Sus scrofa: one gene and its partner. The protein of the gene in region 2 purifies or fractionates together with the protein of the main gene of each other region. This does not show direct contact. Links are inferred from orthologs where the notes say so. Each region holds a gene or a part of one and is shown on either strand. Other genes may lie near its edges.

Region 1 (3,343 bases), on a different chromosome or scaffold from region 2:
GGCTGCCTAGGATTAGGAGACCTGGGATGCGCTCTTGCTCTCTCGGGGGGAAAGCCCTCCTGCTACGTACTAAATGATGCCCTGGAGACCCCAGCAGAGGGAGCCCATGTGTGAAAGCCTCAGCAGAGGTTTGTCAGATTGAATGCCAGGCACAGAGACTGTTTCAGATGCCAGGGACACAGCCACGAACCAGACGAAGTCCCTGCTTTGGGGGACAGGCAGTAAACACACACGTAGGTGTTGCATACGGTAAATTGAGGAGAAAAATAAAGCTGAGCTGGGGTGTAGCGAGTGCTGGGGAGGGATTCCTGGGTAGACAGTCTGACCAGCGTTTCACTGAGGTGACACTTGAGCAGAGTCGTGGCAGAGGGGAGGGATCAAGCCTTAGTTATCTGCAGAAAGGGTGGCAAAGGCCCCGAGGGGGGTGCCAGTCTGGGCTGTTGAGAGATATGAGGAGCCAGTGCGCCTGGCTCAGTCATGACAGGGTCCCCGTGCACTGCCAGAATGAACTGAGGAAGGGGGGCTGGATATCCAGGGCTAGGCTGTCGCTGTCCTGAGAGATGCTTTTGGCAGGCTCCTGCCACTGCACCTGAAGAAGCCAGTATTTCCCACCCTGCTGCTGCCGCTGAAGTGGGGGACTCCCTGGCCATGACCAGGCCCGAGCCCGCATCCCCCATAAGAGCTGCTGGTGCCACCATTTCCTGCACACCAGCTCTAAATTTTTTCCTTTTTTTTTTTAACCTAAGCTTATCCTGGGCATGTCCTTCATAGCCATGAAATCACAGCAGTATATCTATACTTATAAGTAAATTAACTCAACTGGATTTTTTCTTTCGGCCACACCCACAGCACACAGAAGTTCCCTTGCTGGGGATCGAACCTGCACCACCATAGTAACCTGAGTCACAGCAGTAACAATACCAACTCCTTCACCTGCTAAGCCAACAGGGAACTCCCAGATATTTATGTGTATATGTATGTGTTATAATTTGCTTCGATACCTGTTCAAGTGTTTGGCTTCCTGAAATGCTCCAGTGTAGGCCATCACCATGTGTGGCTTTCCTTGTTAGAGCTTTGTGACAGGAGGCCAGTGAGGTGCCTGACTTCTTTGTGCCTCAGTTTCCCCATTCGTCACTTAGGGATCGCAATGGTACTTCCTTCAGGGCTGTCCTAAGGATTAGTTAATACATAAAACTAGGTCCTTGGAGTTCCTGTTGCGGCTCAGCAATAACAGACCGACTGGTACCTATGAGGATGTGGATTCGATCCCTGACCTTGCTCAGTGGGTTAAAGGATCCTGGCTTTGCCTCAAGCAGCGGTGTAGGTCGCAGATGTGGCTCGGGTCTGGTGTGGCTGTGGCTGTGGTGTAGACTGGCAGCTTCAGCTCCAGTTCGACCCCTTGCCTGGGGTGCGGCCCTAAAAAGCAAAATAAGACAGGAGTTCTCATCGTGGCTCAGTGGTTAACGAATCTGACTAGGAACCATGAGGTTTCGGGTTCAATCCCTGGCCTTGCGCAGTGGGTTAAGGATCCAGCATTGCCGTGAGCTGTGGTGTAGGTTGCAGATGGGGCTCAGATCCCGCGTTGCTGTGGCTGTGGCATAGGCTGGTGGCTACAGCTCTGATTAGACCCCTAGTCTGGGAGCATCCACATGCCTTGGGAGTAGCCCTAGGAAAGGCAAAAAGACAGAAAAAAAAAAAAAAGGCAAAACAAGACAAAACTGTTCTTGAAATAGCAGCGGACACTGTCGTTTTTATGATTCCCACTTCTCCAACTTTGCTCTTTTCACACGCCTAAGATGAAGTTCATTTGCTTGACACATAGGTGCTGAGCGCCTGCTGGGTGCCGGGCTCTGTGCATAGGGAAGAGCGGGGCGTGCCCAGGTTCTCCTCCCCCTACTGTGGCCAGTCTGCACCGGGGACAGAGAGGGGACAGCCAGGCGTAGCCCTCCGTCCTCTGATGCCATGACCTTCCTCATCCATCTCCCATAGGCCCCGAGCATTCCTCTGACTCCGAATACACTCTCTCTGAGCCGGACTCCGAAGAGGATGAGGAGGAGGAGGAGGAGGAAGAGGAGACCACTGATGATCCTGAATATGACCCTGGCTACAAGGTGAAGCAGCGCCTGGGGGGGGGCCGGGGGGGCCCATCCCGCCGGGCCCCCCGCGCAGCCCAGCTCCCGGGCCCCCCAGCCCAGCCCTGCCAGCTCTGTGGCCGTTCACCCCTTGGGGAGGCCCCGCCAGGCACCCCACCTTGCCGGCTCTGCGGCCCCGCTACAGCCCCCCAGGAAGCGCCAGCCCCTGACAGCAGGGCTCTCGGGGAGGAAGCGGAGGAGCCACCTCGGGCTGGGGAGGGCCGGCCAACCGGGAGGGAGGAGGAGGAGGAAGAGGAGGAGGAGGAGGGCACCTACCACTGTACGGAGTGCGAGGATTCCTTCGACAACCTGGGGGAGCTGCATGGGCACTTCATGCTGCATGCCCGGGGTGAGGTGTAGGCAGAGCCCCCCCCAGGGAGCTTGCAGGGGGGTGGGGTGGGGGTGGGAGGAGGGGTGGAGGACATTGGGTGGTCCCAGTAGTCCTGGGGACGGGGTGCCGCCGATCTGTGTTGTCTTAGCAGTAGATGTGTGAAGGCCAGAATAAAAGCCGAATTCTGTGTGTGTTGGCCCAGTGTGCGTTTGGTGTGTGTGTGTGTGTGTGTGTGTGTGTGCGCACGTGTGCGAGCACTGGTATGTGAGGCACGTGCCTGGGCATTAACCCACCATCCCTGGCTCCTTCGGGAAACCCTAGGATGGTTGTTGCCAAGATAATTAATATTTACTAAGTATGTATGTTCAGTGTGGTTTCCGTGTATTTAATCATAGACCCCATGATGTATATAGGCCCAGACACAACAGAATTTGGCGGGTGTTTCGGGTGGGCAGATAACCTCCACAGGGTGGTTTGGGGGCCCAGGCCATCTTGTCAGCTTTTCGTCTTTCACACGGTCATGGCTGTGTCCGTGGCCTGGCTTCTGCTGGTGGAAGGGGAGAGGGAGCCTGGAGAGGTACATGTGTTCTCTTAGAAGCCCCAGCCTGCAAGAGGTGCTGCTTCCACTTAGCTTCCTTTGTGGAGAGATGAGTCACATGGCCACAGCTCGCAGCAAGGGAGTCTGGGAAAGGCGGTCTAGCCAAGTGCCCAGAAAGCGGAAAACAGTTTGTGGAAGACAGCTCGTGCTCTCTGCCATTTCATCCAGGACCCTCACAAAGAGGACTTGAATTATAATCATAGCTGTGCTTCACGAGCGCTTCCTGGGTGCCAAGTGCCGGTCCAAGAGCTTTATAGATATTGACTCGGAGAAGTGGTGCAT
Region 2 (3,821 bases):
AGATTCTCCATGATCTGTTCCCTAACTTTCAACCTCCTCCTGTACCCTACACTCCAACCAGTGAACTTCTTTCAATTCTTTGAACCTCCCTGTGTCTTTAAGCATGCCGTTCTTCTATCCCACTTCGCCTGGCTTATCCTTACTCATCCTTCAGGTCTTCAACACCTTTTTTCCTGGAAGCCTTAGTAGGCTCCCCTAATAGGTATATTCCTTTCTGTAGCCTGTATTTCCCCTAACACAACATTCTTCGTGTTTTACTGTATTGTTGTCTTGTTTACCACTAAATCTCTAGCATCTAGCCCAGTGCCCAGCACTTATCATTGGCATTCAATAAATTTTTCCAAACACATTTATATTATCTTCTCTACCAAAATTATTTGCTTATTTATTAGCTCAGTCCTGGCCCGGCTTCCATAAACTTAAAAATGAGAACATGGGAATTGCTTGGTGTCTGGTACCTGGTGCCTCATGTAATGCTGTTGGAATGCATTGCCATTTTTGAAGACCTTCAGGCAATAAGGGCAGAGCAGGTGCCGAGTATCCTCGTGGATCATCCGAAAATGGACATCGACCTCAGAGTAGAGTGAGGAGCGATACTGACACACCTGAGTGACATAAGAGGGAAAATGAGCTAAGAGTGAAGTGAACAACTGAGGTCTTTGAAAAGAGGTAGCAACAAAAATGTTAAAATATGAAAAAAAAATTTCCTTAATGTATAGAAATCAAATTATTTTTCTGACTTTTTGATGCAGGGCTATGTCTGTGATACATTCAGCTGTGAACCAAGATAAAAATGGGGAAGGACAGGAAAGGTTGAGAATAGTTCATATTCTGACTGAGAGGAATAGTTTTTCCTGTCCATCTCCAAAAGGCATGTTCAGGAGACAGACACCCCCCCAGCACATATGGACGCTCCCAGGTGGGTTTCTCAGCTGGTACAAGGATACATTTCTTTGTGTTTTCTCCTGCATGGAAAAATCCTGAAAATACAACTCAAGTTTACTGTTTCTTCAGTATCTCTTCTGTGTTCCTAAAACTGAGTGTGTGTAACAGGTATTACACTGTTCATTAGTGGACTCTTTGTGTTCAGCCTGAGAGCAAAATAGCTAAAGCTCCCTGGAGAAAGAAGCAATACCTGGCAAACGTAAGGCATCTCTCCAGGCTTATGAGTATCCTTCATATGCTGGAGAAACAGTGGCTCACTCTCAAATGCCCACTCACAGATCTTGCACTTTGCTGTAGGAAGAAAAATAATCAATAAATCCACCTGAAAATATGACGAAAGTCCTGCTGACTCATTATCTTTATTTCTCTGACTCCTACATTTTCATTTTCAATAGTCGTAAATTATTAAGTCTCTTTCCTTCTCTCTTTAAAACGGCTCTGTCTCAACATTTGTGTGCTGATATCCTGTCTCTAGCTCAGACTTCTTTATCTGACTCCAAACCACTGTGTTCTGTCACCATTATTTCAAATTACACAGAGAAATTGTCACCTCTTCATTCTCACAGGCAAAAACTTGGTAGAAGCTCATAGGATTTCCTACTGCTAGTCAGCTGGCTTCTAATACCTCCTATTTCTCCAATAAATACAGTATCCTTTATATACCATCGCCAAATGAATTTATTTTAAAATACTATATTACTTCATTCCTCTGCTTAAGGATAGACAATGGTTATCTCCTATGAAAAATTCGACCTGGACTGAACACTTACTAAATGAGGATGAATGAGGATTTATCCTCAAAAGACTGACAATATGAACAGAAACAACTTCTTGCCTTCTTATGAGTTGTTACTTCAGTATTAACAAATTTGAGATAATTAAACTTTGAAATTAGTCATTTTTTTAAAACTACAGTTGAGGAGTTCCCGTCATGGCGCAGTGGTTAATGAGTCCGACTAGGAACCATGAGGTTGCAGGTTCGGTCCCTGCCCTTGCGCAGTGGGTTGAGGATCTGGTGTTGCCGTGAGCTGTGGTGTAGGTTGCAGACTCGGCTTGGATCCCAAGTTGCTGTGGCTCTGGCGTAGGCTGGCAGCTACAGCTCCAATTAGACCCCTAGCCTGGGAACCTCCATATGCTGCAGGAGAGGCCCAAGAAATGGCAAAAAGACAAAAAAAAAAAAAAAAAAAAAAAAAAAAAAAACTACAGTTGATCTATATATAATGTTGTGTCAATTTCTGATGTATAGTAAAGTGACTGTTATTTATACATATATAGTCTTTTTTTATATTCTTTTCCATCATGGTGTATCCTGGGAGACTGGATATAGTTTCCTAAGCTATACAGTGAGACCCTGTTGTTTTAAAATGAGCCATTTTAAAAAGAATGGATATATATACACATATATACATACATACACACAACTGATTCACTTTGCTGTACATGAAACTAATATAACATTGTAAATCAACTATACTCCAATAAAAATTTTAAAAATAATAAAATAAAATTAGCCATTTTATCAAGCTTTTATAAGGCTGTAATTCTAGGTTTTTGGCAAAAATCTTAATTGCTAGGAGTTCCTGTCGTGGCTCAGTGGAAAAGAATCTGACTAGCATCCATGAGGACGCAGGTTCAATTTCGAACACCTTTAAGCATTGGTGTTTCCCAATCTTTTGTCCAAGGCCTTTTTTGTTTTCTGTGTTTTACCTGTGCAATCTTATTCACCCTCAAAGGCTTTCCCTATAACCTATATATCACCTCTATTGTTACAGCTGTCACACAACATAAATAATATCATTTAGTATGTCTGCACCCGTGGCATATGGAAGTTCTAAGGCCAGGCAAATCTGAGCCACAGCTGCAACTGAGGCCACAGCTGTGGCAATGCCGGATCCTTAACCCACTGTGGTATAGTGGGAACTCCTAAAATACATTATTAAAATTAATTCCACCTTTAAAAAGCTTTTATTTCAAATGACCACTAAAAAAATTAAAATTATATACGTAGCTCATTGTATTTGTTGATCAGCATTAGTCTGAACCACTCATGGCAATCCCATTTCCCTTGACAATATGACCAAAGCCAAGGAGATACAAAGGGAAAACAATTCTGCCTTGTAAGAAATAGATTCAGGAAGACACAGGAAGATATACTCTTCTTCATCTGTACAATTTTACACCTGAATGTAATGCCTAAGACTAACAAAGCCACCCTGCTATGATGGAGACAAGGAAACCTGTTGAGAAGTAGAGGACTCAAATTTTGGGCCTTAAGCTCACTCCAAACCTTGGATCCTCTCAGTTAAAAGATATAATATTTGTTCTTAATGTTTTGTCCATTTTTAGTCAAGATTTTTAATTTGCATAAAAAGCATCCACTTAACATGCACATTTCTGCCTTTATGTGTCTGCACATGCTGCTTCCCATCACTTACAAACCTTTCTTACTACTTTTCATTCATCAAAATCTTTCTTGTATTTAAAAACTTGAGGGAGTTCCTGTCGTGGTGCAGTGGTTAACGAATCTGGCTAGAAACCATGAAGTTGCGGGTTCAATCCCTGGTCGTGCTGTGAGCTGTGGTGTAAGATCCTGTGTAGGCCGGTGGCTACAGCTCCTATTAGACCCCTAGCCTGGGAACCTCCATACGCCGTGGGAATCGGCCCTAGAAAAGGCAAAAAGACAAATAAATAAATAAACAAATAAAAATAAATAAAAACTTGAAAAGTTTACACATTACTTCCTGTGAAATCTGGCCACAGGATCTTTTTCCTTCTCTGAACTATTTCATCTATCACTGGTGTTATACAATGCACATGTTTACAATAAATATATTCTCTTGTTTTCACAATTTCCTATAGTTACATAATTTTTTTCT

The links.
Region 1: the proteins of POGZ (region 2) and ZNF428 purify together in Homo sapiens (affinity purification with mass spectrometry; 3 studies listed by BioGRID and IntAct, counting the BioPlex papers as one, with this or other methods). This does not show direct contact. The link is inferred for Sus scrofa from reciprocal best matches to the Homo sapiens genes POGZ and ZNF428.

The regions. Positions count from the first base shown.
Region 1 is NC_010448.4:50,450,451-50,453,793, reverse strand, and holds the end of ZNF428 (zinc finger protein 428), read left to right. Parts: intron 1-1,989; coding exon 1,990-2,492; 3' UTR 2,493-2,654; downstream 2,655-3,343.
Region 2 is NC_010446.5:97,821,484-97,825,304, reverse strand, and holds part of POGZ (pogo transposable element with ZNF domain), read right to left. Parts: intron 1,237-3,821; coding exon 1,136-1,236; intron 606-1,135; coding exon 459-605; intron 1-458. UniProt on the Homo sapiens protein: Plays a role in mitotic cell cycle progression and is involved in kinetochore assembly and mitotic sister chromatid cohesion.